Linked DNA regions of Oryctolagus cuniculus. The protein of the gene in region 1 interacts with the protein of each later gene in a pairwise test. Links are inferred from orthologs where the notes say so. Each region holds a gene or a part of one and is shown on either strand. Other genes may lie near its edges. The genes, in order: EGFR, YWHAB, CEND1, PAK1, RAB3A, ARF6 and SH3BGRL.

Evidence for each region.
Region 2: the proteins of EGFR (region 1) and YWHAB interact in a protein complementation assay, tested with the Homo sapiens proteins (3 studies listed by BioGRID and IntAct, with this or other methods). The link is inferred for Oryctolagus cuniculus from reciprocal best matches to the Homo sapiens genes EGFR and YWHAB.
Region 3: the proteins of EGFR (region 1) and CEND1 interact in a protein complementation assay, tested with the Homo sapiens proteins (2 studies listed by BioGRID and IntAct). The link is inferred for Oryctolagus cuniculus from reciprocal best matches to the Homo sapiens genes EGFR and CEND1.
Region 4: the proteins of EGFR (region 1) and PAK1 interact in a protein complementation assay, tested with the Homo sapiens proteins (3 studies listed by BioGRID and IntAct, with this or other methods). The link is inferred for Oryctolagus cuniculus from reciprocal best matches to the Homo sapiens genes EGFR and PAK1.
Region 5: the proteins of EGFR (region 1) and RAB3A interact in a protein complementation assay, tested with the Homo sapiens proteins (2 studies listed by BioGRID and IntAct). The link is inferred for Oryctolagus cuniculus from reciprocal best matches to the Homo sapiens genes EGFR and RAB3A.
Region 6: the proteins of EGFR (region 1) and ARF6 interact in a protein complementation assay, tested with the Homo sapiens proteins (2 studies listed by BioGRID and IntAct). The link is inferred for Oryctolagus cuniculus from reciprocal best matches to the Homo sapiens genes EGFR and ARF6.
Region 7: the proteins of EGFR (region 1) and SH3BGRL interact in a protein complementation assay, tested with the Homo sapiens proteins (2 studies listed by IntAct). The link is inferred for Oryctolagus cuniculus from reciprocal best matches to the Homo sapiens genes EGFR and SH3BGRL.

The regions. Positions count from the first base shown.
Region 1 is NC_091447.1:57,745,895-57,749,933, forward strand, and holds the start of EGFR (epidermal growth factor receptor), read left to right. Parts: upstream 1-1,239; 5' UTR 1,240-1,433; coding exon 1,434-1,521; intron 1,522-4,039. UniProt on the Homo sapiens protein: Receptor tyrosine kinase binding ligands of the EGF family and activating several signaling cascades to convert extracellular cues into appropriate cellular responses.
Region 2 is NC_091442.1:14,271,414-14,275,584, reverse strand, and holds the start of YWHAB (14-3-3 protein beta/alpha), read left to right. Parts: upstream 1-1,371; 5' UTR 1,372-1,507; intron 1,508-4,171. UniProt on the Homo sapiens protein: Adapter protein implicated in the regulation of a large spectrum of both general and specialized signaling pathways. Binds to a large number of partners, usually by recognition of a phosphoserine or phosphothreonine motif.
Region 3 is NC_091432.1:319,781-323,714, reverse strand, and holds CEND1 (cell cycle exit and neuronal differentiation protein 1), read left to right. Parts: upstream 1-1,134; 5' UTR 1,135-1,298; intron 1,299-2,287; 5' UTR 2,288-2,359; coding exon 2,360-2,812; 3' UTR 2,813-3,490; downstream 3,491-3,934. Other genes in the region: SLC25A22 (mitochondrial glutamate carrier 1), read left to right, coding at 1-12.
Region 4 is NC_091432.1:68,425,034-68,428,533, reverse strand, and holds part of PAK1 (serine/threonine-protein kinase PAK 1), read left to right. Parts: intron 1-251; coding exon 252-389; intron 390-3,500. UniProt on the Homo sapiens protein: Protein kinase involved in intracellular signaling pathways downstream of integrins and receptor-type kinases that plays an important role in cytoskeleton dynamics, in cell adhesion, migration, proliferation, apoptosis, mitosis, and in vesicle-mediated transport processes.
Region 5 is NC_091447.1:65,551,341-65,555,629, reverse strand, and holds the start of RAB3A (ras-related protein Rab-3A), read left to right. Parts: upstream 1-1,489; 5' UTR 1,490-1,649; intron 1,650-2,436; coding exon 2,437-2,664; exon of another isoform or gene 2,665-2,941; coding exon of another isoform or gene 2,942-2,983; intron 2,984-3,494; coding exon 3,495-3,613; intron 3,614-4,138; coding exon 4,139-4,263; intron 4,264-4,289. Other genes in the region: MPV17L2 (mpv17-like protein 2), read right to left, coding at 2,942-2,983. UniProt on the Homo sapiens protein: The small GTPases Rab are key regulators of intracellular membrane trafficking, from the formation of transport vesicles to their fusion with membranes.
Region 6 is NC_091443.1:26,198,546-26,202,639, reverse strand, and holds the start of ARF6 (ADP-ribosylation factor 6), read left to right. Parts: upstream 1-1,294; 5' UTR 1,295-1,574; coding exon 1,575-2,102; 3' UTR 2,103-4,094. UniProt on the Homo sapiens protein: GTP-binding protein involved in protein trafficking that regulates endocytic recycling and cytoskeleton remodeling. GTP-bound form plays an important role in the transport of multiple palmitoylated proteins form the Golgi to the plasma membrane.
Region 7 is NC_091453.1:68,904,764-68,908,866, reverse strand, and holds the start of SH3BGRL (adapter SH3BGRL), read left to right. Parts: upstream 1-1,303; 5' UTR 1,304-1,404; coding exon 1,405-1,491; intron 1,492-4,103. UniProt on the Homo sapiens protein: Appears to function as an adapter protein that bridges proteins together or proteins with mRNAs. May function as a ubiquitin ligase-substrate adapter.

The DNA.
Region 1 (4,039 bases):
CTGTGTGCAGGACTCTATCCCAGTGCTGGGCCCCGAGCCTGGCCAGAGTTTCCACGGACTTCTGCCACCGTTCCTGGAAGAGCTCTCCCCAGCACCACGGAGGAATGTGGTGGGGGCCCAGAAGGTCTCACACTTTGTCTTTTTTTGGGGTACTCAGGATAAATCGCTGCACTTTTAAAAGTCAGTCGAGGGTCACATGGACACCACGATTTGTGCCACCAATCATCCTGGCGGGCAGCGAGTGTGCCTAGGGTTCGTCCGTGGCTCCTGTAGCGGAACGCAGGATCACGGGTGCCCTTCTGTTTCCTGGCTCCTCTTCTAGCTTTTGTCTCTAGCTTTTGTATTTGCGTTTCTTTGCAGCCTGCTCTAAGTCTTCTGGTTTGGAATGTGGGCTGGGAACCAAACACACGGCTGGCTGTGGACTTCACAGCCTTGCTCACCCGGGGCAGCCGCGATTCCTCAGAACAAAGAACAAGCCAGCCGCTCACTCTGGTTCCCCGCAAACCCCACCTTTCCCGCGGCCGGGCGGGGCGCAAACCCGCAGAGCAGGGAAGCGCTGAAGAAGCCCTGGAGCCGAGGCGGGGTGCCCTCGGCCCAAGGGTTCAGAGAAAGTCCCCGCAGCTCCAGGAAGCTCCACTTCCTGTGGCCAAATCCTCAGTGACTCTTGCTGGCGTCTGCGGTGCTGTGCGCGACCGACATCCTCGGCCCTCGCTCCCGGAGCCAGTCCCTGGCACAGTGGAGGCCGTGGGCGCACCGGGACCTCACGCATTCACTCAAGGAACGCAAAGGAAAGCCGCTCTCCCAGCGGGGAGCCGAGCGCGCTCGTTCCCAACGACTTCGAGGGCGCTCAGGGGGCCCCTAGGGGCCCCAGCCGCCCGTCTGGGTCTGGCTCTGCTGGGGACTCTTGCCCCGGGGCCCCAGCGGCCCCTCTGCGTGGTCACCCACCTCGGCCCTCGGGCTCAGCCGGTTTGTCCGGAGCCTGCTCCAGGTGGCTCCGTCTACAGAAGGGGCCGGTGAGGGGACCAGGCCCGGCTGCGCCCCGCGCTGGGAACCGACCCGGCCTGGGGTCGCGGCGCGCGGAACGCCCCTCTCGGGAACTCGCTCCCGGCGCCAGGTCCCGCGGGGCCGCGGCGTCCACGCCTCCGCTCGCCGCTCTTCCTCCCGCTCGCATTCTCCTCCTCCTCCGCGCCTCCGACCCCTCCTCCTCCGCTGGGCCCTCCTCCCGCCGCCTCCCCACGCCCGCCGCCCGGCAGACGTCTGGGCAGCTCGGCGCAGCGCGGCAGCCGCTCCTCACCCGCCGCCCGGAGTCCCCGAGGCCAGGCGCGGGCGTCCCAGGCCGGACCCAGGCGGGACTCAGGCGCCCGCGTCTGCCCCGCGCACGGAGCCCGACGCCCTTCCGAACCGACCGCACAGTTGAGCGCGCAGCGGCAGCGATGCGACCCTCGGGGCCGGTCGGGCCCGCGCTCCTGGCGCTGCTGGCCGCGCTCCTGCAGGCGGGACAGGCGCTGGAGGAGAAGAGAGGTAAGGGCGCGACCCGCACCACACCGCGCCGCGGTCTTCCCGACTTCCGTGAGGACCCTCGGGCTGAAACCGCTCTGGACGTCTAGCTCCTGGGCTGCGCGAGTCGCACCAGGGGAGCTCCGGCGCCGAGCGCTGCCCAAGCTGCTCCATACCCGGCACGTGCGCCCCGCGCAGTCCGCGCACCCATGGGCGGTGCGTCCCACCCGCGGCCCTGGGAGTTTAGGTTGGATCCGGGAGCTGCGCGCACCTTCCGGGACTGGCGCTTCCCGAGCGCACCCTCCCCGCGCCGGCCCCACCCGGTCCCGGGCTGCAACCAGAGGCCCCGCGAGCCCTTCCCGCGTGAGGGGCTGCGGCCGGAGCGGGGGCTGGAGGACTCCTGTCGCCCACCACGCGAGGCTGCTGGGCCGGGACGGCGCGGGGAACTGGGGCTGGGGTCCTGTCCGGCACGCCCCTGGCGCGCAGTCCCCGCCCCGCGCCGAGCGGCCGGGTGCGGCCGGGCCAGGTGCTTGGCGGCGCGGCGAACCCGGCCCCCACCTGCGTGCTTGCTCCGCAGGACTGGCTGGGCGGCGGGTCTCGGCTCCGAGCCCGCCCTGCGCGTCCCCCACGGTTTTCTCAAAGTCCCAAGATTTTCTCCTTTTTGGCGTTTCCTTTTGCTTTCTGAAAAGTTTGATATTGGGCCAACCAAAATATTAAACTGTATCAAAACCAGGAAAGGATGCGGTCCGGGCCCCACGTGCGCGAAGGCCCCGCGGAGTGGGCCTCGCCGCGAGACGCCCGCCGCGGGAGGCCGCGTTGCACAATCCCCGGCTGGGCCGGCTTCCGAGAGAGTCAGGTCCCTGCTTGCCGTTGATGTCATCGGCCTCGGGTCTGGGCTCTGGCGCCGGGCGCGTCTGCGGGCCAGGGGTGCTGCGGCGGCCCCAAACTTCGCTGCAGGTGGGAATCACCTGGGACTGAAAAACGAAAATAGTAATAAACAACGAACTGGAAAAGAGGGGAGAGGGCGAGGGGAGGTTGAGGCGGGGGAGAGGAAGCGAGGACCACGTCCGGCTCCCGCTCACGGATACCCCGATTTAATTGGTGTGGGGTGAGAGCCGGCCTTGGGTTTTAACAGCTCGGGCAGGCTTGCGAGTCCTGGCGTGGAGGAAAGAAGGGCGAAGTGTCCAGAAGGCTCACCCGCTAGCCGTGGAGCTTCCCCCAATCTGCGCAGCTCTCGCAGAGCGCCGCGAAGGCAGGGCTTGGCCAAGGGGGCTCTGAGGCCCCCGGTGCGCGGCTCCGGTACACCGAGTGCTCAGTGCCTTCTCACCCCAGAAGTGCGCCCAGCTCCTAAGTGGGGCTGCCTCCCCGCTGCCGCCGTGGTGGGAGATTTGTTTCTTGTTTGCCCTGTGTTCGCCAGTGCTGTGGTGAGAAAGGGCGCGCACGCTCCGTTAACATGAGGCAGAGAGACTGGCGAGGATCTAATTACTAAAACTGCGAGGCATAATCTTCCTATAGAAGTTGTTAAGGACCCATGTCAATCACGTGCCAATTCCATTCCAGGAGAATTGGTGAGGGTTTTTTGGGTCTCAGCTAGGAAACCGGTATTGGCTGCCCTCAGATCTAACAACCAGACCTGGCTCCTGCGTCCTCACCTCCTTCCTCATTTTCCCGCCCTGCAGGAGAAGATCGATTTCCCCACCGCTCACAAGAGGCAGGGTCAGGGCTGAGACGCCACTGCCTTCTGCAGCCCAGGTGTGGGGAGCCAGGTCAGGTGTACGCGGCTGACTCACCTCACTTGCAGCACAGAGGAAAAGTACCAGGAACGGCTCATCAAGTTGGGCTCCCCTCCTGAGGCTGCAAACACACCCTGCTAACCAGTGGTCTGCTCTCCTCAGGGTTCCTCAGCCTGGTGGGGACAGCTCTGTCACCAAATCCCTGAGCCAAGCTTGCTAGGGGAGTTGAACAAGGCCTGGATCCTCGCTCCAGGGAAGGCACTGCTGAGGAGGAGGTCCTGGGGTGTTCCCAGGAGCTCAGGAATTCTCAGCCACAAGCTTCTTGTGGGGATGAGCCTGGCCACCCCTGGTTCAGTGGGCCTGGGCCGTGTTAAAGAGAAACCAAAGCAGAGGTGGTAGGGAATCCAAGACGAAGGATGGGATGCCCCGGCTGGCCTGGCAGCCGGCCTTGTCTTCTCACTCCAGCTGCGGGTGGAGGTGAACAGGTCACATCCAAGCGCCAAGCTTCTCGATCCCCTTTCTGAGTTCAGTATTTGTGAATTCAGTATTCACTGTGCGTGCCTGGTATCATGAGTTAAAAGGGAGGAGAGTTATGACAGCTACTGGAAATGGGATTCTGCAAGTCGCTAAATACTAGTAAATTTCCTTTTTACTCTTTCAGAGTCTTGTCTATCGCACAGACAGGCAGAAACCTGGTGATAGCTCCAGCCGGCTCTGAACAGTCATTTCTGGCTTCATGCATTTGGTTTCATAATCCATCGTTTTTCACAAACCTTTCTCTGGTGTTTGAAGAAGCCAGCTGCCAAAAT
Region 2 (4,171 bases), on another chromosome or scaffold:
ACTGCCAACTCAAACTGTTTAGAAATAGTCCCGCTGGGGGGTAAGGAGTCATCCAACGGGGTTAGGGTATTTACGATGGGTTATGTATGGGTAAGGGGAGCTTCTGGAAAACCTTGATTGTAACACTCAAGGAACTTACTATTGATAGTTTTCAAGGTCTGAGTGATCAGCAAAGGATTTAAGTAGGGACAGAACATGATTAGAATGGCATTAAACATTTTTTAAAAATATACTTGAGAAAGAGCACTCGCATTTACTGGTTCACTCCCCAAATGGCCAGACCAGCCCAGGCAGAAGCCAGGAATAGGAACTCAAACCATGTCTCCCAGGCGAATGGCAGGGATCCAACTGCTGGAGCCATCACCTGCCGTCTCCCAGGGTGGGACTTAGCAAGAAGCTGGAATCTGGGTGCCCCCCACCGTAACTGCTACACCTGCATTTTTAGATCAGTAGGCAGCTGATAGAGGCGGGGCTGGGCATGGTGTGGCGAATTAGATCTCTATCATTAACTAAATAAGGGTAAGGGAGAGATGACAGCAACGCGACCCAGGTACTTTTTTCTTCTGCCGCCAGACTCCCAGGGGAGCAGGGCCCCCTCTCTCCTGTGTATTGCTGTCTCTCCAGCACTAAGCGGAAAACCCGCTCCGCATCTGTCAGCATGAACAGGTGAGAGGCCAGAGAGGGTGAGGGGCCACGCGGCCCCGTGCGCCTCCCTGCAGCTTCCTCAATGAAGAAACCATGTGCACAGGTTTTTTTCAGAAGACCTTCACGTGGCCTCTTCAGGCTATGAGGGCAGGAGATAGTCCCTTAAGTACAGAAAGGCGGATAAACCGAAAACGGGGGGACGAGCAATTTCTGTCTTCCGAGGTCCAGTTATTCGCACAGCACGCAGCCAAAGGGTGTGTGCGCTGGGGCTCCGACCCCCGGGAGGACTACTTCCGGGGTGGCGTGGGAACCTGCACCCTGGGAATCGCTGTGCCTGGCCCTGCCCAGGCTCCAACCTAAGCAGCGCGGGCGCTCCCCCACCCGAGTCCTCCCTGTTCCCACACATCCCATCTCTGGACCTCCACCCCCATCTCCGCCCTCTCTCCTCCCGCCTCCTCTTCCCGTCCCCCCGCCCCACTTCCTTCCCCTTCGGCCGCCTCCTCCCTGCTACCTCTCCCGGCCCTGCGCCCGCCCCGGTCCGCTGCGGCCCTGCACTGGGCTCTTCTTCCTCCTCCCTGCCGTCAGCGCCCCTCTCGGGCGGCCAGGGCAACCCCGTGCCTCACTTGCCCAATGAGAAGACGGCGCAGGGAGGGGCGGGGCTTGAGCCAAGCGGAAGCGGTGGCCGGAGCGGAAGTGGAGCTGCAGCCACCGCCGCCGCCGATTCCGGAGCCTGGTTAGCTGCTGCCGCTGCCGCCCCTGCAGCCGCCGTCGCCGCTGCCTGAGGAGCAGGCTTGGGAAGGAAGCGGTCGCCGCTCTCGGAGCTTCGCTCGGAAGCCTCTTTGCCCCCTGCAGCCCTCCCACGGTGAGTGCGGCGCGGGCCCGCCCGGGGCCCCCAGGGGCCCACGCTCCAGGTCCCCCTCAGCCCGCGGCTGCGATGTCGGCCCTGCGGGTGAGCCCCCGGGGGTGGCGGTGCGCGGCTGCCGCGGCCCTGGCTGCCGGCTGCGGCGCGGGCCCGACCTCGCCGCGGCCCCTCCCTGTTTCCGGGGCCGGGCCCTTCGCCTGCAGAAGCCCGGGCCTCCCGCGCCGCCGGCGGCCCTGCCAGGCGGGCAGGGTGCGGCTCGGTACTGCGGGTCGGGGACGGCTGAGCCTTGGCCCCGGCCCCTCCCTCCTGGCTGGGCTTTTATCCCCGGCGCGACCCCTCCCTGCGCCTCGGTCGGCGAGAACTACCCTTTTCAGCCCTGTCACTGCGGCTCTGGGGCTTTCCGGCTTCCAAAAATTAAAATTTAAGCAAACGCAGGCGAGTTCTTGCGCCCCGGTGCCCCTGCTTGGCTACCCCTGGATGAGTAAGGGGTTTAACCTTGGGAGACAGCAGGGGGGAAACCCCCACCCACTTTGCAGCAAAGCCATTTCATCATCCTCCGCTGGGTACGGAGCCCGGCAGGACCCGAGATTCCCTGGGAAGATCAGGTCGGAGGTTTGAAGCAAGAAAATGCATTTGTTGGGACCGATGTCTGAGTCAGGCCGGATCTCCAGGGGAAAAAAGCCACCAGCTGGTGTTGGGAATATTTTCCCAGGGCATGCGCCGTCATTTAACGCCCGAGTGTTTCGTGTCCTCGGCCCAGATTCCCCCTGACTGTGTGTGAGAGCACGTTTTTCAGTCCCGAATTTCCCTGGTAGCCGGGGGAAGGGATGAGAACGCTCGACTCCTTTTCTATAGAAGCTGAGTCCATTTTTGCCTATTGCAAATGGAGAACTCGCATGTAATGGAGTTTTCAAAGGTGGCAGCATTGGCTAAGACAGTTTGCCAACCTTTCTGTAAAAATACATGGCGTCTTGTCCTTGCCTTTGCTGCAGTTCTCTTTGGTAAAGGCTGGATGGCATCAGGCTCTGATTTTCCTTGCCCTGTGTGGGAGCTGGAATTTGGCAAGATGATGTTGCGAACATAGAAAATCGGCTGGCTACAGGAGCCACGAGGGAGAAATGGAGCGCTGGGAAGCTGAAGGTTCCTTGCACTGATTACTTTGTCTGAATGGTCCACATGGAGGCACACACCATATACAGTGATGTAGAAATGGACACGTGGCCACTGAGATTTCTGCATCTTCCTGTTGGAATTTTGTATGTATAGAAATATTGCTCGGTAGTGAATTTCTTCATTGCTTCCAGTGCACGCCATTTCTTTCTCAGGGATATTTTAGATATCTGAGCCCTCATTTTTTCTGACCCATGTCTCTAACAGCACATAGTATGGAGAGTATAAAAACTGGTCAGTTTTGTCAGGTCCAAGTTGGAATTTTAAGCTTGGCCTTCAAAATGGGTGGCTGCAAATCCAGTAGCAATGGCTGGATTATTTTCCCATCTGCCTTCAATGAGATAAGTCAGTCACCCATCTTACAGATGAAGTCTGTATGAGAAAGGTGATTTGGCCTAGCCCACACACTTAGCTTCACACTGAATATCCTTATTCATCAGTAGCAAATATTTATGGACCGTAAGCCCCTGGAGTATGGCTCCTACCCTGTAATTTTGTGTACATTTCCCATGATGCAGTGCTTGTGTTATGGTGAAGCCATTTTAGAATTGGATCTCCCTGGATCAGGGAGGCAGCCTTTCTGAAACCAGGCTGAGCAGATTCCCATGGTGCTAGTTCCTAGGCAGCGTCTCCGGAGATCTGAGCCACTGCGAAATGTGCATCTTGCCCATTTGGCTGTAGGTGCAGAAACCAAAGGAGTATTGAAATTGGAACCAGGTAAATGCACTTCAGATGTAGGCGGTAATATTTTTTAGTATGATTTGCAGCATTTTAGTTAATCTCTAGTGTGGTCATGAAGCTTTTTTACAAACTGTAAATTGTTAAATGAAAGCTTTTGCTTTTTTTTTTATGACAATTTGCTTTTCTCCAGTTACATTTGAGACCCAGCCCTGCTTTGTGCACATACTGCTTTCAAAAAATGGTGTTGTTACCAATTTTTATTTTGCACATAGAAAATCTAGTCTGTCATTTTCTCATCTGTACAGTGCAAGTGGTGATGCAGCCTTTGATGTATTGTGACAACTCAGTAATTAAAATGAGCATCTGGGATACAGAAGGTGATTAACCACATGCGTGAATGTGCACATGTGCAGATCAGGCGTAGCGTATATTGTATGACATAAACAGGAATGTAGACTACACCTGTTTGATTTATTTATCACCGATGAAGTAGCATCAAACAGTAATAATAATAAATAATAATTACAGTATTTGCTGTGTGCCACAATTTGTTCTAAGCATTTTATATTAGTCTTAATAACAACTAGTGAGAGGTAAATACTGTTAGCCTCATTTTACAGATGAGGAAACTGAGGCACAGAGAAGAATAATTTTCCCAAGACCCCTTCCATGTACAGCTCAAGGTAAGTTCTAGAGTCAGGAAGGAATTGGAGCCAGGTGATCTGGCACTAACAAAGAGTAGGTGTCTACTTGTAGAGCAACACATGCCGATCATTTATTTAAACACCATTTAGCCTTTAATTTCTCTTTACA
Region 3 (3,934 bases), on another chromosome or scaffold:
CCCCAGCCCTGAGCCCTCCCCCGGGGCGGGGGAGCTGGGAGGGGATGCAGGGTCCACGTGGGTGGCACACACCCAGGGCTTCGCCTGCCCAACCTTTGGGATCAACGTCTTATTTATGTAGAAAATGCGGAGATTCTTACATTCCTCAAGCCAGCCCCTGCCCCAGTCCTGTGCCGGCTTGAAGGCCCCCGGGGACGGAGCTGGTCTCTGGGCTGGGGGCTCCCAGGCCTGGGCTGGGCAGACTGGACCCCACCCCCTCCAGTCCACCGCCTCTCATCTCTGAGGCCCTCCTGGTCCACGGAGGGGATCCATACAAATCTATTTATTGAGTCTGCTGCGCCCACGTGGCTCTGCCATCTTCCCGTCCGTCCGTCCGTCCGTCTGGCCTGCCGGCCGGCCCTGCTGCCTAGCTCACGTCGGCCTGGCCAGCATTGGGGGGGAGCCACACCCACCCTGTGGGACCCACACGTTGTGAGGGGTGGGTGATTGGGGAGCAGGTCCCGCCCACCAGCCCTCAGCTGGCCTGGCCCCGTGGGGCCCGGGTGCTGTCAGGCTGTCCAGAGAAGCCCCGCCCGGCCCCTCTTGCTGCATCTCCTGCAGACCTCTCCTGAGACACCCCCGTCCCTGCCCTGGGATTGGTCGGCCGGAGAGCAAGCAGGAAGACCAGCGGCCGGGCTGCCCTCCCCCAGGGTCCACTGCTCTTGGGACCTCTGCCGGAGGCCCCTGGCCACCCCCAGACCCCCAGACGCTGGGTGGAGGCCTCTCCCCGCCCGTCCCTGCCATGTGAATGTGTTGGTGATTGATCTGACGTGCTGGTGCTGTGTTCCCAGACTGGGCGCCCCAGGCCCTCCCCCACCCCGTGACACTACCTGGGCTCAGTTCTCGGTTTCCCCGTCACCTCCGTACCTTGGAAGCTGTGCTGCTGCTTACAGATTATATTTTTTTTTCCTTTGAAGAGTTTTAAAAGTAATTTTTTGTGTCTTGTCATGTAAGAGGATAAATAAATATTCTACCTAGATGCCTCTCTGGGAGTCTGTTTGGGGGAGGGGCCGGGATGCTGGGCGGCCGCCTGCGCTAAGCCTCGCCCCGGCCGGGGGCGGAGCCGCGGTGGCCGCGAGGGGCGGGCGCTGAACCTGCGGCCCCGCCCCTCGCTGGTCTTCTGCCCGGGCGCGGTGCATTGTGGGCATCTCCCAGGCTCTCCGCACCGCACCGCATCGCATCGCATCGCATCGCCTGGGCAGCCGCCGCCCGCCGTCCAGAGGGAACGCAGCGCCGCGGTGCGAGGCCCGCAGGACGGCGTAAGGCGGGGGGCTCGCGGGTGGGCGGGGGGGGCCGAGTGTGGTGCCTGGGGGTGCAAGCCTGCCTGGTGCTCTCCTGAGCACCGTGGCTCTGGGAGGGGGAAGAAGCGGCTGGGAGGTGAGAGGGCTCAGAAATAAGGGAGGGGGAGACCACTGCCCGCTGCGCATGTGATGCCCAGCGGCTGGCACCCCCCTGCCGGGGGCGCTGGGGGTGGGAAAGGGAGGCCCTCGCTCCCTGGGATGCGGGGCAGTGGCTGGTCCTCTCCCCGGACACCCTCCTCACGCGGTGACCTTCAGATGACCTTCAGTGAGGTCACTGCATCAGGCCCGGGGTGGGGAACCTGAGCGGCAGCCTCGTCACTGGCTCCCTCTTCCTTCCCGGCTGGGGGACCCCTCAGCCTTCCCCCAGGGGAGACAGGCGGCCCCAGGTCTCCAGGCAGGCGGCTGGGCCTGGGGTGCTGTCCCCGCCCTCACCTGGGCCGCTGAGAATCTGGGCGAGGCCCAGCCCATCCTGCACCTGGCCTGCAGGCTTGTTCTGGGGACACCTGCGTCCCCAAGGCAAGCACTGCCCCGGGGCAGCAAGGACTCAGTGTCCTTGAGCTGCCTGCAGAGGGGACCTCCAGGGAGCAGTCTCAGTGCCACCTCCAGGTCCTTGCAGTCCCACTCCCAACCCCAGCAGCCGCCTGCAGCCGGCCCCGCCCTGCCCTTCCCCACCTGGGCTGAGTGCGCAGGCCGGATTCTTCCCCCTCGGTGCCTCCCTGCCCTGCGCCGGCGGCAGGGGCGTAGCCCAGATCTGCAGGAGGGCCCTGTCTGCCCACCTGCGGCCAGCCAGAGGGCAGGAGCTGGTGGAGGCCAGACCAGCAAGAGGAGGGTCTGACACCCACAGGAAGCTCCCTAGAGGGGACTCCTGGGGGGACCATGAGCCAGGCAGGGGTGGGGGCGCCCAGGAGCGGAGCCTTGCCCACCCCCTCCCTGGTGTCTGCCTGCAGGCCCGTACCATGCTCAGGGACCAGCCGCGCTGACCGCCTGCCTGTCCCACACGCCCAGCAGCCCCACCTGCCATGGAGTCCAGAGGGAAGGGAACCAGCAGCCCCAAGCCCGACACGAAGGTGCCCCAGGCTGCCACTGAGGCCAAGGCCCCCCCAGCCACCGACGGAAAAGCTCCCTCCGCCAAGCCCGTGAAGAAGGAGGCCCAGACGGAGAGGCAGGAGCGGCCGGCAGCCCCTGCCCCCGCGCCAGCCAAGGCAGACCCCGCCCTCCTCAACAACCACAGCAACCTGAAGCCGGCCCCCGCCGCCCCCGCCGCTCCCGCCGCGCCCGGCAGTCCCGACGCAGCCCCAGAGCCCAAGGGTCCCGGGGATGGGGCCGAAGAGCACGCATCCACCTGCGGGGGCCCCGGGGGCCGAGGGCCCTGGCCCTTGGAGAACTTGACCCCCTTGCTGGTGGCCGGGGGTGTGGCCGTGGCAGCCGTGGCCCTGGTTCTTGGAGTGGTCTTTTGGGCCCGGAAAAAATGATGCCCGGTGCCCAGCTCGGGGCCGGGAGCCACTTTCTGTACAGAGCTGGAGGGCAGTGCATGCAAGGCCTCACCGTCACACATCCGTGTACACACGCACACACACGCACACGCACTCCCCAGCCCCGCCCCCGGCTGCACAGCCCTAGGGCCGTGGAGAAGGATGGGGCATTAAAGGGCGTGGTGTCTCATTCTCCCCACTCCTGCTCTCTGTGTGCAGCTGGGCGGGACACGGGGGGCTGACCGGAGGCGGCCTCCGCCAGTCCCTGGCCGGGCTCTGCCCAGGGCACCTCTCCCAGCTTGTGCCCGGGAGCCCCTGGGGCTGGGACTGCCTCACCCCCTGCCCAGAGTGGCGACTGTCCTGGGGGCAGCCGAGAGCCCCAGGGAGGGGAGGACCCTGAGGACCCCGCCCCCAGCTCCGCGAGGGCCCCTCCCATCTGCTTCCAGCGCCCCCTGTCTAACAAGCGTATAAATGCAATAATACCGGTAGAGTAGAACCATTTGGCGGGCGAGCGACACCCGTGCTCGGCCCCATCCTGCCTGCAGGGAGACTCTGGCCCTCGGCCCTGTGGCAGAGGGCTGGCTCTGTGGGAGCGAGGTGTGCCCACATCTGGGTGGTGGCCGTGGGCACCCCGGGCCCGAGGAGAGGCCGAGTCTGAAATAAACTCTGTTATCCGAAGGCTGGGCTGGCGTCTCACCCTGCACTCGGGTAGGGGGTAGGGGGTGGGGGCCGTGAGGCCCAGGTGGGGGCGTCTCACCTGCACTGGGAGGGGCGGGGCTTCCATGGGGGAATGAGGAAGGCACAGATGCCCATGCTGGGCTTTCCAGGGACAGGTGGGGGAGCCCCAGGTCCCCTGGCCGGCCCCCTGCCGCCCCAATGCCCCTGAGCCTGATGGGCTGACTCGCAGACCCTCAGCCTTCCCGGGAGCCCTCACACCAGAGGGACACTGAGCAGTGGGGCCATGGGATCGGGGACGGGGGCCTCATTCCAGGAGGGGCCCTGCTGTCGGCCTCTCAGCACCTCTCCCTGGAGGCACGCAGGCCCCCAAGCCCACCCCAAGCAGCCTCCAGCTGACCAGGCCTCCATGTAGCCCCAGAAGTGCTGTGGGCTCTCCTGGGCACC
Region 4 (3,500 bases), on another chromosome or scaffold:
CTGATTGTTAGAAAATGCTTCAGTGTACCTTTTGTGGTTTCTTACCTTTTGATTTAAGCTTTACTCCCTGACCCTACATCCTTGTCTCAGACTTAGAATGGCTTTCCAGAGATGTGAAGATGATGATCATGGGGTATGATGGAAATAAGACTGGGGTTATCAATAGTGTCACCCTAAGCATGTTGTCTGCATGTGGGTACCAAGAGTGAATCCCAACTTGAGCCCAAGATGATTTTCCGTTTGTATTCCAGGCCTTGTACCTCATTGCCACCAATGGAACCCCAGAGCTTCAGAACCCAGAGAAGCTGTCGGCTATTTTCCGGGACTTTCTGAACCGCTGTCTCGAGATGGATGTGGAGAAGAGAGGTTCAGCAAAAGAGCTGCTACAGGTAAGTGTCTCTGCAGGGACGCACCAAATTCAAGGCGTCAGTAAATCTAGCCTTTTGTGCTTCATTTTTGTGTATAAAGAACTATGCTTTTGTCCTACCATTTACCACACTTGCTGTAATCCTAGCTCCCTATCCTTCATTCCGGGGCCTTTGCTCATGTTTCCATTAGCCTCTTGCTCAGCTCATTAAAACTCTACACATCCTCGTAGCTTCTTCAAACCTACTTTCTGAGCTCCTTGTTGAACTTTGCCTGTATCTTTCTTTGACATTTCCTTTGTTTTGCATGAATTAGTCTGACAGGATTTGCTTGAGCATTGGTGAGAAGCAGCTCTGACATGTAAATATTACACAAGTTATATTTTACAGAATAAGTGCTAATGAAATAATTCTCAACAAAGGAAACTGGGTTTAGATCCCAGTTAGTGACTGTGATTTCTGAAGTCTTTACTGTTTTTTTCTTTTTTCCACTGGAAACCTCTCAGATCATGGCAAAGATGTTCTACTTGTTTGGAGGGTTGTAGCGAAACCAAAAATTTACCAAGCCTTTTAAACACCAACCTGCCTAATCCTGAACTGCAGCATAATTATTTTGTATGATTTCAGAAACTGTCTTTAGAGGACCACATTTAATATTTAATTTGTATCTAAGTTTTGTGTTCCCAGTACAATTTCTTATTACTAAGATTGTTTTACTACATTGCTCCCTGGTGATTTTATTGCACATGTCACATACAACTTTATGGTAGTGATTGACCTGCAGGCATATACTCTCAGTTCCTTTTGTATTATGAGGCCCAGGAGTGACTGGGCAGGGCAGGGGAGTACTTCGTGTACTGCCTTGTGTTAAAGCCAGTTATGAATATCTCTACTTCTCCGCCTTTCCCAGTGGATTATAAATTCTTTTTTATTCAAACTCTCTTTCTTCTTGTACCTGGGACAAGACTCAGAATAGGTACTCAGGGAATATTTATTGGGTAGAATGGAGCTGCTTAAAGAATTTACCTACAGTAGCCTTTCATTCTCTGGAACATAATTAGTATCTCTTTGTAATTGAAGTTACTGATTATAGAGCACTGGCCTATTAGATAACAGAAATGGATTCTGCTAAGTGTATCCCATTAGTTTCTAGGATCCTTTGGGATTAAAAAAAAAAAACCCTTATTACAGACAGTATAATAAAGAATTAGTCTTTAAAAGTAGTTGTGTTCTGAAAACCCTAGGTTTTTAGAAATGTGCCAATAGTATGTTGTTATAGCTGTGAAGATAGGTGTAATTCAATATCAAATTCTCTTTTTTAGACATTTTTATTGAAAGTTTAGTTTAATTGAGATAATTTTATATCTTCATACAATTGTAAGAAACAATACAGAAAGCTTCCATATATTACTCAGTTCCTCCCACAGTGGCACAGTGTCACAAAGATACAGGCATGGATTGAGTACATTGATCTATTCATAGTTCTCCAGTTTTACATTGTAGTGATTTTTGTGGAAATACACTCCACTAAACAGATAGATAGATGGTAGAGTTGAACCAAACCTATGTCTATCTGGCCCAAATGTTGAGTTCTTAACTTTTGATCAAATTACTTTTATTGAGAGGTCAGTGTATGCTACAGTTTTCTTCCTGACATGCTAATATAACTACTAATAGATACATTGTATTGGATCTTCACCATATTTTAGGCACTAAGCATTTCATATATAATATTTTTAAAGATTCATTTTATTTATCTGAAAGGTAGTTACAGAGAGAGAGAGAGGGAGAGACAAAGAGAGGTCTTCCTCCCATTGTTTCACTCTTCAAATGGCCACGGCTGAGCCAGGTTGACACCAGGAGCCAGGAGTTTCTTCTAGGTCTCCCGATGGGGTGAGGAGACCCAAGCACTTGGGCCATCCTCCACTGCTTTCACAGGCCGTAGCAGAGAGCTGGATCAGCAGTGGAGCAGCTTGGACTCTTCCTGACACTGTATGGGATGCCAGCATTGTATGTGGTGGCTTTACTGGCTATGCCACAATGCCAGCCTCACCATATATAATTTTTTATCTATTCTGCACAGCAGTCCTGTGAGTTATATGTTCTATTATTCCCATTTTTTAGGTGTAGAAACAGAATTTTCAAGTATTTTGTAACTTCCCTTGATTATATTGCTGAAATGTAGTGGATACAGGATTTCAACCTATGTCTGGCCCTCAAGTGTGTGTGCTCTTGGCCACTATTATAAACTCAGAGACTGTCACAACTGGAAGGCTGTTAGGGCTTGTATTTTTCTTTATTCAGAGATGGAAACTGAGACCTCCTAGTTGGGAGCTATTCTTTCAACTCAGGGGAGTTAAAGAAACATGTGGTCTGAGAACACTGATTCTAGTGTATATTTTTTTTAACTTTTTTTTTTTTTTTGGACAAGCTGAGTTAGAGAGAGAGAGACAGAGAGAAAGGTCTTCCTTTTCCATTGGTTCACCCCCCAATAGCCGCTACAGCTGGCATGCTGCGCCGATCTGAAGCCAGGAGCCAGGTGCTTCCTCCTGGTCTCCTATTCGGGTGCAGGGCCCAAGCACTTGGGCCATCCTCCACTGCCTTCCTGGGCCACAGCAGAGAGCTGGACCGGAAGAGGAGCAACCGGGACAGAATCCGGCGCCCCGACCGGGACTAGAACCTGGGGTGCCGGCGCCGCAGGTGGAAGATTAGTCTAGTGAGCCGCGGCACCGGCCTGATTCTAGTGTTTATTGTAAAGATTCAGAACCATGACTCTTAAAATCTTTTTTTTAAAGATTTATTTATTCATTTGAAAGGCAGTACAACAGCTAGGGAGAGAGAGACAGATCTTCCGTCCATTGGTTGACTCCCCAAATTGGTACAACAGCACCACAACTGGACCACACTGAACCCAGGAACCAGGAATCCGATCCTGTTCTCATACAGAGGTGGCAGGGCCCCCATTACTTGGACCATCTTCTGTGGTCTTCCCAGACCATTAGTAGGAAGTTTAATTGGAAGCAGAACATTTGGAGCTAAAACCAGCACTCTGATATGGGATGCCAAAATTGCAAATGGCTGTTTAACGCTCTGTGGTACACCAGTCCATACTTAAAATCTTACATCATGAAGGTT
Region 5 (4,289 bases), about 7.8 Mb from region 1:
CCTGTGCGGGGAGAACCGTGTGATTTCGGGGTCACGACCACCTCGGGTCCCCAGAGACGAGGGTGAGACACCAGCGACGGGCAGAGCGCCCCCACAAGCGGGCGCGGCAGGCGCAAAGGTCCTGCGGGACACGGAGCCGCTGGGGGGGGGGGCGGCTTCGGACCTGGGAACCTGCCTCTCCCCCACCTGCTGCCTCCCCACCCCCGCCAGGCAGGAGACAAACTCGGGGCCCCCCTCCCCGTCTGCCAGCCTTGCCAGCCACCGCTTCTATTTTTACATCCACACACGGGGTGCTGTGGTCTCGTGACTGCTTCCCCCGGGGGACTCAGAGCCCCACACACCCCGCCTAGAGCCCCCGCCCGCGCAGGGACCCGCGCACCCGCCCAGAGCCCCCCAGTGGGGGCGGGGCCCAGGGCCCCAGACGGGGAGGGGCCGGGGTCGTGACGCTCAGAGCCCGTGGGGGCACTCACACGTGACTCAGAGAAGTGAATTTCCCGGCGCGCACGCGGGGGCGCCGGGGGGGGGCAGGACTTTCCAGGCCGCGGCGCGGGGCGGGGGCGCCGGCGCTGTGTCGGGAACAGGGCGAGTGCCCCCCAGCCCCAGCCCATCTCCGCTCCAGTTTTGGGCAAGGGAGGGGCCGGGGGGTCCTGGGGACCCGGGACGGGGCGGGGGTCAGAGGGTGGCACCAGCGGGCCCGGAACGGAGCGGGGGCCCTGCCGCCGACCCCGCAGCGAGAGCAGAGCCGAGGGCGCCCCCGCCCTCCGCCCTCCGCCCGGCCCTGGGTTCTCGGTAGCGGGGAGGGGTCACCTGGCCCCCGACCCACGCTGGCTGGGGATCTCCACCGCGGGTCTGGGGGTCCCGGGCACTGAGCCCCGCCCATTCTGTTTCCTGCTCGAGACGGGGCGCGCCGGGGGAGGGATTCGCCGGCGGCCCCCCTCCCCGGGGGTCTTCAGGTCGGGGACCGCGCGAGGGGCTGTCCGACGAGCCCCTTCCTCTTTTAGCTTCTCAGGAACCCCCAGACGCAAGGGCGGGGCACGAGGGTCTCCCGGGCCCCGGTTCCGCTTTCCTGAAATTCAGGAGACGGGGCTCCTAACGAGAAGTCGCCGCACCGCGGACCCGGCAGGGGCAGCCCCGACGCCCCCCGACCTGGGGTGGGCGCGGCCGGGAAGGGAACCGCCCCCCCAGAGACCCCTTCAACCGCCTGGGATCCCTCCATTGGCCAGGGGGACGGCGTCTGCGAAGCTCATTGGCTTGCTGGTCCGTCACTGCACCTCTTAGCCAATGAGCTGACGCCAAGCAGCCCCGCCTTCCTGAGGGAGGTGAGAGGCGGGACCTGCTTCCCCGATTGGACGCGCGCGCCGGGCCACGCCCACTTCTCGCGTCCATCTGCACGGCAGCCCCGCCCCTCCCGGCTCTGCCTGCGTCCGGGAGCCGCAGCCGCCGGCCCGACCCCGCCTCTGGTGGCGTCACGGCTGTATCTGCATGCGAGGCCCCGCCCCGCTCTTTGCAGGACGTCACGGAGGACTGCAGGGGCCTCAGCCACCGCCGCCGCCGCCGCCGGGCAGCCCCGCACGCTCTCCGCGCCCCGGTCCCGCAGCTGCCGCCCCGCGCTCCGCCTAGGGGTATCCGCCGCGCCGGTGCAGGGCGAGGTGAGCCCCCGGCGGCCCCGAGCCTCGGCGCCCCGCGCCGCTGAACCCTCACGTGACTGACAGGCGGGTGGCGGTGGGGAGGGGGCGGGGGAAGGCGCGTGGGGGCGGGGAGGGTGCGGGGCCGCGGGCCCGGGGGTCCCCCGCCGCCGCCCGAGCCTCGCTCCCCCACCCCCGGGCGCTGCGGCGAGGGGGGAGGGGCGGCGAGCGCCTTGCGGGACGCTGCGCGCGGGAGGCTCTTGCGTGCGCGTGCGCGAGGTGTGCACCTGCGTGTGCGCGCCCGCCTACCCTGGCGCGGGAGCCTGGGTTTGCCGGCATACGGGCCGCACGCGTGTGCAGAGAGCCGCGTGCACGCCCGAGGGTCCACGTTCCTGTGGGTCTGCGCGGCGTGAGCGCGTGCACGTCCCTTCTTTGCCCTGGCCTCGAGGTTTGGGGTTGCAGACGCGCGTCCCCGCGTGGTGGGGGTGGGGCGGTGCTGGCAGGTGCACGTGCGCCTGCGTGCCGGGGACCAGGCAAGATTGAGGGGGGGCGGCCGTAGTCACCCCCACTCAGGCTGCAGCCGTAGGTTTAGGGTTACAGCGGGACCTGGGCTGCTAGCGGGGATCCCCTGCGGTCTGCACCGGTCAAGGTCACGGCCCGCCCCCTGCTCAGGGCTCCTGCTGCCAGGGGCAGCCGAGGCCGCAGCCCCCTCCCCGAGCCCGGGGCTCCCTACCCCCGCAGCCCAGGTCTGGGTCCCCGGCAGCCCCGGCTGCAGCCAGCTCCCGCTCTCACCCCCCCCCCCCCCGCGCAGATGGCGTCGGCCACGGACTCGCGCTACGGGCAGAAGGAGCCCTCGGACCAGAACTTCGACTACATGTTCAAGATTCTCATCATCGGCAACAGCAGCGTGGGCAAGACCTCCTTCCTGTTCCGCTACGCCGACGACTCCTTCACGCCCGCCTTCGTCAGCACCGTGGGCATCGACTTCAAGGTCAAGACCATCTACCGCAACGACAAGAGGATCAAGCTGCAGATCTGGGTGCGCAGCATGCAGTAGGCGCCTACTGTGTGCCAGCCCCACGCGCTCGGCCCCCAAATGCCAGCCAGAGCTTGGGCGGGGCTCCATCCGGGTCTCCCACGGGGCAGCAGGGACCCCTGCCCCTGGGCCAGCACCTGCTGCCTCCCAGGGCGCGCATGCGCAGGGAGCTGGGCGGGAACCCAGGGATGTGGGGCCCCGCGCGGCGGTGTAACTGCTGCTCCACAGTGCTGCCTCGGTTTCCCCATCTACAAGGGCTTCCATGTGGGCTGTGTAGATTTCAGCTGGACCTTGTTCCGTGGGGCAGGTGCGCTGTGTCCACCTGTGACCGCAAACGAGAACTGTTCATCCGGGGCCAGCGCTGTGGCCTCGTTCCTAAAGCCCCCACCTGCAGCGCCCGCATCCTGTGTGGGCGCCCGTGCGAGTCCCGGCCGTTCCACTGCCCATCCAGCTCCCTGCTATGGCCTGGGGGAGCTGTGGATGATGGGCCGAGTGCCTAGGCCCCTGCACCCGTGTGGGGGACCCGGATGGAGCTCTAGAGCCGGGACTGGGCCCCAGGCACTCGGATAGGGGGCGCGGGGAGTTGCGGTGGAGTTCACTTTGGGCGCCACGCACCTGCCACCGCCCCTGAGCTGCCCTTGTCGCCTCCCACCCTAGGCCCTGGAGCAGGGCTTTGGGAGTGGTCCGTCCCCCAGGGCGGGGCTTTGGGGTGGTCCATCCCCCAGGGTGGGGCTTTGGGAGTGGTCCGTCCCCCAGGGCAGGGCTTTGGGGGTGGCCTGTCCCCCAGGGCGGGGCTTTGGGAGTAGCCCGCTCTGAGCATGCCCCTTCCCCAGGACACGGCGGGCCAGGAGCGGTACCGCACCATCACCACCGCCTACTACCGCGGCGCCATGGGCTTCATCCTCATGTACGACATCACCAACGAGGAGTCCTTCAACGCCGTGCAGGACTGGTGAGCGCGCGGGGCGGGGTCGCCTCGCTTAAGATTTACGCAGAGAGGAAGGGAAAGGGAGAGAGAGAGAGAGAGGGAGGGAGAGGGAGAGGGAGGGAAGGAGAGAGGGAGGTCGGTCTTCCGTCTGTTGGTTCACTCCCCAAATGTCTGCAATGGCCAGGGCTGGGCCAGGCTGAAGCCAGGAGCTCCATCCGGGTCACCCCCATGGGTGCAGGGGCCCAAGGGCTTGGGCCATCTTCCACTGCTCTCCCAGGCCACAGCAGAGAGCTGGATGGGAAGTGGAGCAGCCGGGACTAGAATCGGCGCCCCTGTGGGATGCAGGCACCGCAGGCCGGGGCTTTACCCGCTGCGCCCCAGTGCCGGCCCCGGGAGATGACTCAGGGTCGAAGAGGTTGCTTGAAAGGGCAGGGAACCTTCTGGAACAAGCACTGGGCAGAAGGCACAGGACTCGGGTTTCCAGGAGGGGCTGCCCAGTGTGAGGCCAGAACCGCCCAGCCCTAACTCCACCGTCACCGCCTCCTGCAGGTCCACCCAGATTAAAACCTACTCGTGGGACAACGCACAGGTGCTGCTGGTGGGGAACAAGTGTGACATGGAGGACGAGCGGGTGGTGTCCTCGGAGCGCGGCCGGCAGCTGGCCGACCACCTCGGTGAGCGCCTGCGCCGGGGCCAGTGC
Region 6 (4,094 bases), on another chromosome or scaffold:
AGTAACCCTTCGATACAAAGATTTCCTTGGTCTTCCACCAACATGGTATTATTTCATCCTCCAAGCGGGGCGGAGTAAGCGAGGTCAGTTTACACAGGAGATCAGCGAACGAGGTTAAGTGGCCTCTCAGGTTCTACACCCTACGCTAAGGTGACTGCAGCACGGGTGGGTGGGTGGGTGAGCAGCTGCCGCTCCCATACTAAAAGGAAGTGACACTGGACTAAGAACAGTTCATCGCGTTCCAGAAAGCTCTTCACCGCCAGCTTTTACAAGAAACGTGAGCTGGTCCTGATGCAACACGGACAGGGCTCCAGTGTTCGAGAGAGGGGCTTCCGAGCAAACCCGAGCCCAGCCACGGCGCGCCACTGACTGGCGGGTTCAACACGAGCGCGCCGGCCTCCCATGCGTCTTCCAGGAAAACCCTGAACACCAGAGGCAACGATACCAAGGAGGGGGTCGGAGAAAAAGCTAAAAAGCGGCCAAGGCGTCCCCGGGAGACCCGGGGCGCGCGAAGTCCGCCGAACTTTCCGGGCCTGCAAGCGGCTCCGTGGGGGCGGCTCGTCCGGCGGCCCCGCCCTTGCGGAGGCTCCATTTCCCCACCTCCCCGGAGTATTTGCTCCCCGGACTGCGGGGGCGGGCAGAGGCGCGGAACGAAGGGGCCGCCGAGCGCGCAGACGCGGCGAGAGCGACAGGTGGGCGCGGGCCAGAGCCCGAGGCGCGCGGGCTCGGGCGGGCGGCACCCGCGAGCCCTCCGGGACGCCGTAGCCCCGCCCCCTCCGGCGCGTGGCGCCCGTGACGCTGGGCGCGCGGGCCGCTCTCCTTCCAGAGGTCGCTCTTGTCCGAACGGTCGGCCTGCGCTGCGCCTGCGTGGTCGGGAGGGGAAGTGAGGCGGTTTCTTGGGCGCCTTTTCCGGCAGCGGCAGCGGCAGAGCTGGGAGGAGGTGGCGGCGGCCGGAGCGAGCCCGTGCTCGGGGCGGCGGCTGGAGGTAACCCCCACCACCACCACCCGGCACCGACACCCGGGGGCCGAGCTGTTAAGGCGGGCGGCCTCGGCCTCCGCGCCCGCTCCCGTTCGGAGCTCCGGCGGTAACTCCCTTCTCCTTCTCTGTGTCTCCGCAGGCAGCGCGCTGAGTTCCCGCGAGGATCCATGACCTGACGGGACGCCGGCGCCGCGCTGCCTGACGGGTGGCCTGGGTCGGTGGCGAGCCCGGTAGTCGGCGGGCCGTCGGGCGGGCGGAGGAACGGGCACGGCGGCGGCGCTCGCGCGGCGCCTGCGGGGGGGAAGGGCAGTTCCGGGCCGGGCCGCGCCTCAGCAGGGCGGCGGCTCTCCGGGCGCAGACTCAGGGCCCCGGCGGCGGCGGCGGCTGGAGGAACCAAGTTGTGCGGGTCGGTGATGCCCGAGTGAGCGGCAGGCCCGGGCCTCTCGCCCCGTAGGAGGCGACTCCCACGCAGGCCGCACGGGCGCCCTCGCGGCAGGGAGGCTTCGTTTCGGTTTCGCGGCGGCGGCGGCGGCGTTGTTGGCTTGAGGGGGAACCGGGACACCTGAATGCCCCCGGCCCCGGCTCTTCCGTCGCGATGGGGAAGGTGCTATCCAAAATCTTCGGGAACAAGGAAATGCGGATCCTCATGTTGGGCCTGGACGCGGCCGGCAAGACCACAATCCTGTACAAGTTGAAGCTGGGCCAGTCGGTGACCACCATCCCCACCGTGGGCTTCAACGTGGAGACGGTGACTTACAAAAACGTCAAGTTCAACGTGTGGGATGTGGGAGGCCAGGACAAGATCCGGCCGCTCTGGCGGCACTACTACACCGGGACCCAGGGTCTGATCTTCGTGGTGGACTGCGCCGACCGCGACCGCATCGACGAGGCCCGCCAGGAGCTGCACCGCATTATCAATGACCGGGAGATGAGGGACGCCATAATCCTCATCTTCGCCAACAAGCAGGACCTGCCCGATGCCATGAAACCCCATGAGATCCAGGAGAAACTGGGCCTGACCCGGATTCGGGACAGGAACTGGTATGTGCAGCCCTCCTGTGCCACCTCAGGGGACGGACTCTATGAGGGGCTCACATGGTTAACCTCTAACTACAAGTCCTAATGAGCATTCTCCACCCAGCCCCCGGAAGGAGAGAAATCAAAAACCCATTCATAGGATTATCGCCACCATCACCTCTTTCAATCGCCACTTTCTCTTCTTTTGAATTTGAACTCTGGAGTTACAGTTCTACGGTTTAGGGAGGGGGGGTTGGGGTTTTTCTTTTTTTTTTGCTTTTTTTTTTTTTCTTTTCTTTATTCCGCTTTGCGTTAGGATGCTCTGATTTGACGTTTGACATGAACACAAAGTGCTAGGTGCTCTTGTTGACTTCCAGCAAATGGGGTGGGGGAAATACAGCAGTTCTTGGTAAAGTCCTTTATAATAATGGTTTGATTTTTTTATTTCTAGAGAATCTTTTTCCCCCCCAAATGTATGCTTTTTTCCTTTTTTTTTTATCCAGTTTCCTTATCACTTGCTGTAGATGGCTTATTTTGCATTCATGCAGACTATGTTGCAAGTCTGTTTCATCTAGTAAACTGAAAATTATTGCTTAATCAAACTGCCGTTTGTCTTTTATATTTAAGGCTCCCCCCCTTATGAATTCTAACTTAGTAATTTCAAATGTGACCTAAGACCAGTATAAGTAAACTTAGCCCACAGTGGCAAATAATGAGTAATATCATTGTAATATGTTCCAGTTGCACATCAGTATGTTAAACAGGTAATGTAAGAACTTATTTGAAATGTCAGCTATTAACTCCTAAGACATACATCATGCATGAGTAGGAATAAAACCCAGGGTCGTCATAACATAGCAAACTTAACACTGCAAAAAATATGAAAGTATAACCCGCCAAGGACATGAGGTTTTTTTTCACTGCAAAGTTAGCAACTTTTCCTTTTTTTAACATCAAAAATAGACTCCTTCCAGAAAATGGAGCAATAATGGTGTGTGCCACACACAGATATCTGTAGATATTTTAAGCGACTTTTGGGCAAAACTGGAATACTTATACATTGTTTCAAGTGTCTTAAGAGCAGTAGTATTAAAGTTACTGAAACATTAGTTTGTTCATTAATAAAGCATTTAATGATTCAAGTTATATGCACCTTTTACCTAGATGGAAAAATACACATTCCTGTTTTCACATTACTGCAACTGACTAAGCTGAAGATATATCATTTTTTATAGATGAGTGATCCACATCTCCTTTAATTAGAACACTGGAAAAGATGTTTTATAAAAAAGATATTTAATTTTGTTTGATTGTGGGATTAACTCGTGCAAATAGTAAGACAACCTGTTGGTTCAATAGTACACTGTCTCCTTTAAGAAAGGCAATGTGATGAATGAATGTTGGATGTGTAGACTTAAGGGATGACAAAGGGGAAGTGGGCTGAAGAGAGAACCTACAGATGACAATGAATGTAAACTTATTTTTCTTCAAGGGTAAGCAGTGTGCTCACTGGTGATATCCAGATCCTAACAGAATTACTTGGGTAGCAAGTTAGGACCAGTAGCTAGATTGAGACCACTATGGTAGTATTTTGAACCAAATGTTAATGCTTGATACAGAGTTGTGAAGCACCATCTGGTTCTTATATAGCCTTAAGGATTAATTTTAGTGATCCTCAAGGAATTAAACTTAGGGAATTTCAGAAATGTAGACTGCAAAGGCAGTATACAGGAAAAAGTGGAGTGGGTTTCGTTTATGAGGGTGTCTGAAAACAAAACTGAGCGGGATATCATGGTATAGTTGGACAGTATTGGTCCTTCATGCTTTGGCCATATTGTATAATGGAGCTTTTACCAAAGATATCTGAGAATCATAAGGCTATTTTAAAAAAAAAAATCAACCATTCAAAGTAAAACTCTTGACAAAGCATTTTTCTTCAAGCAGATGAGAAAAGGTGCTATGTTGTAGGCTCCGGCTGGTACAAAGGGATTTTTGAGTTCAAGATGCAACTAAAGTATAAAGTAGTCAGTTTCACTTTAGTGAAAGTATCTCTAAAAATGAAGCTGATCAAACACATCCTAAGAACATTATGGTTGCT
Region 7 (4,103 bases), on another chromosome or scaffold:
GACTCCTTATACCTCATAGCCTAATTTTTACAAAGCCACAATTTTTCAAACTTATTTAACTCTTTCCCACAATAGAGGAGTAACACTTCCCTCTCAAAAATCTGGAGATGAAAAGCAAGTAAGCTGAACTTTGCAATAGATTTCTTTCTTTTTTAAAATATTTATTTATTTATTTACTTGAAAGGCAGTTACAGAGAGAGAAGGAGAGAGGGGGAGAGAGAGAGAGAGAGAGAGAGAGATTGGTTGATTTCCACTTGTTCACTTCTCGGATGGCCACAACATCTGAATCTGGGCCAGACCAATATCAGGAGCCCAGAACTTCATCTTGGTCTCCCACGTGGGTGGCAGGTACCCAAGCACTTGGGTCATCTTCTCCTGCTTTCCCAGGTGCATTAGTAGGAAGCAGGGACTCGAACTGCATTGCAGGCAGGGGCTTGGCCTTCTACACCATAATGCTGGCCTCACAGTGGATTTCTTAATGTTAGCCAGTAGAAACACTTAACTGTGTCAAGTACTAGCTTTAGTTTTCTTTAAAATGGTCCTATGAATTAGGTACTGTGATTATCTCTGTTTTACAGTGAAGAAACTAGAGGTTCAAAGAGGTTAAAAAACTTTCCAGGTCACACAGCTTGTAAGCCATAGAGTTTAACTCCAACACAAGCTCTTTGAATTAAAAAAAAAAAACTGTGCTTAACCACCAAGATGATACATGACAGCTAGAAAGCAGGAGGAGATAGATGTGAACATGAGGTAAGAGATAGGCAAGAAATAAGTCCGGTAAATGGACAAGGAGTTGCCTGGGAATGTGCATGTAAGGGAATAGAGAAGTGGGAAACTGATGTGGAGAAGGATATTATGCCTAAAGATGAATGGCAGTAAGTGGGGTAAATATCTATTAACCCAAGATCAGGAAGACAGAGAAGACATGTGCATTGGGAAAGCCTCAACTGGTCTTTTATAGGTCAACATCAAAAATTTTTTGGCCTTAATAGTTTTTTTCCTCTTCATGAGAATCAATTAGAGGGAATGGAGCTCCCAAGTTGTTGTCGGGTTTTTTTTTTTTTTTATAGGAAGTGATTTCTTCATGTTGAGAATGGCTGATACATGTTTTGACCCACTGCAATGCAGTAATGTATGCCATATTCCATTTTTCAGTCTTGTAATGGCTTATAAATTTACACTTAATGGAAAGTATACTAAGTCCAGTGCTTATATAAATTAACAAATTGTAGTAACTTTTTTAAAAAAAATTTATTTATTTATTTGAAAGGCAGAGGTAGAGGTAGAGGTAGAGGTAGAGAGAGAGGTCTTCTATCCGATGGTTCTCTCCCCAGATGGCTGCAATGGCCGGAGCTGTGCTGATTTGAAGCCAGGAGCCAGAAGCTGGTTCACTTCCCAGGTGCAATGGTTGAGGCTAAGCCAAGCCGAAGCCAGGAGCCAGGAGCCAGGAGCCAGGAGCCAGGAGCCAGGAGCTTCTTCCAGATCTCCCAAGTAAATGCAGGGGCCCAAGCACTTGGGCCATCTTCTTCTGATTTCCCAGGCACATTAGCGGGGAGTTGAATCTTAAGTGGAGCAGACAGGACTAGAATCACCTCTCGTAAGGGATTTCAGCACTGCAGGCAGCACCTTTACCTGCTACACCACAGCACTGTCCCCCATAGTTCTTCATTATATGATTCTCAAGTAATTGCTTCGTAGATGACAGAATGTTTTGCTTCTGTTTTTCTGTGTTTATAAATTGAGCGTTGATTTGATATATACTTTGGTATTTTTCGTAACTGGTAAAGTTTGTTTGAATGCTTTTTAAAGGTATTCATAAACTACTTAGAAGACCAAAGTAAGAAATCATTCACCAAATGACTGGACATGTTTTTTGCATGCCCCAAACACTGAAACATGGAGGCTTTCATGCAGCAAATGCAGATTGAAAATCATTGCCTTCAATTTGGTGCCCAATATTTCATGGTTGATTTCCTAAATTTACAACAATGATAAAGGCACTGCAGTAATTTAGCCCAACTTGAAGAGCCTTGGGATGCACAGGTGTAAATGATGGTGATTCTTGAGCACTTAAAAAACACTTAAAAGTCAAATGATTATATGGAAAATTTTAGTTTGAAAGCTTAGTAAAATATTCATAATGTAGTAGGAGAGAAGGATGAAATGGATTCATCTCTTGTGCGAAAACTAGTTACCCTGTTGAGGAAGGGTTTTGATCAACGAACCTTAGGATCAACCCTCCCCATGGGTTGGCCTGGGGAGAAAATCACTTAGGGTGCTAGAAATAATCAGATTGAATGTTCTAAATCACTGTGGCTACTTCTAATATATTTTCTAAAATACATATTGTATAATCAACTATAAATCTGTAGGAATATTTTTGCTTAATTATAAAGGATGAATTTTGTATTCTATTTCTTATAAAATTCAACAAATTAAGAGAGAATCTGTTTGTGACTATCAGACCATCTGTTTCCTTTCAATTCTACTTTACAGCCCACCAGGAGTCCTTTTAAACCCAGAATTTAATCACTTCTTGCAATCCAGGACCAAAATTAAACAAAAGTACATTTAGAGAGAAGAGGAAGCTCATGTATGATGACTGTTTTTATTAATATGAGAGACAAAGCTGACATTTTACACTTGGCAAGCAGAGAATTTAAAGCAAGGAGATTGTTTTCCAGTCCAGAATCCCACATTTTGGATGTGTTGGCTTGAAGTATTGTTAATTGCCAGAACATAAAAAATTTCAAATATGAGCTTAAAAATATGACAAATTCAAAGACTGTTTAAAGTACTGCTATATTTTGTGGTTGCACTACCATTTCATTAACATGGCTAATCAAGATTTGCTTCTAGTAATAGTAAAGATTAACATTTATTTTTGGGTTGCATTTGTCAAGCACTGTGCTGAGTTCTTTATATCCATTGTTTCATTTAACTTAACCTTTACAATAATACGGTGAATTAAGTGCTAGTACTAAAGCTGTTCTCTGTAATTGGAGGAGTATCTCTAAGATCTGGAGACATTAGGTACACTGCTGCAGACCAAAGAACTAGACATGACAGAGTTGGGATTAGAACGCAGGTTGTCTGACTTCAGAACCTACTTCTAAACACTGTTATTTACACATCATCTGTGTTTATGTATTGAATAGAAGTTATGTCAATAGTACATTAAAAGTTTCTCATATGACTGTACTGGAAATAAAATTGCTACTTAAACTAGGATGGTGCCTTACCTAATCGAATGTGTCCTTGTCTGTAACCTGCATGTGAGAGTGATGTGGGGTGAAGGTGGGGGAAGTAAGCAAGTTAATAGCATCATTTTCTTCTACAAGTTAAGTTTTCTAAAATAAAATGCCTTAGCCAAGGACACATTTATAAATAGTGCATGTCTATCCTTTCTTGTGCTGGCTTGTGCTACATCTTGAACTTTCATGGCTTCGATTCACTTTCCTGAAAAGTGTCTGTGTGGCTCTAGACCAACATGACTGAAAGGTGGATATTTATGGTTCTATAAATCTTCTAAATCTGTTGGGAAGGCGGTACTACTGTAACTTGTAAACTCTGAGTTTTGGACTCTAGTCTTTGAGTTCTGCTCCTTTGGCTTATTCATTTGTGAAAATGGGACTCTGTTACAGAATTGGCATGAAGCCAAACAGTTCTGCTTGGGGGATTTCCAACAATGAATAAATATGACAAATAAAACTTCACCTTCTAAACACCAGAAAATGCTCATCTCAGGTAACTCTTACTACATGAAAACATTTTGTCTGTTTTATATCAGCACTACTTCTCAGCCAATTGTTTCATCCCAGGTGTAGCATATTTCTCAGTGCTGAAATTACAGCAGTGAATATATATTTAACAGTAGTGTAGTATTGGAAGCCATTATTTCCAGTGGTGTATTTTCAAATTTGATTTAGAAGAAAGACAAGCATAGACTATTATTTAATTTATTTAAAATATGATAAATCATCTCACTTTAATTTCTTGCACAAATCCTTGTAATTCATCCACTTTAGTTAATAATATTAAGAGTTATCATTCAGTAAATACTTGCACTTTGCCAGGCATTTGTAGGAAGTTTACCTGGGTTA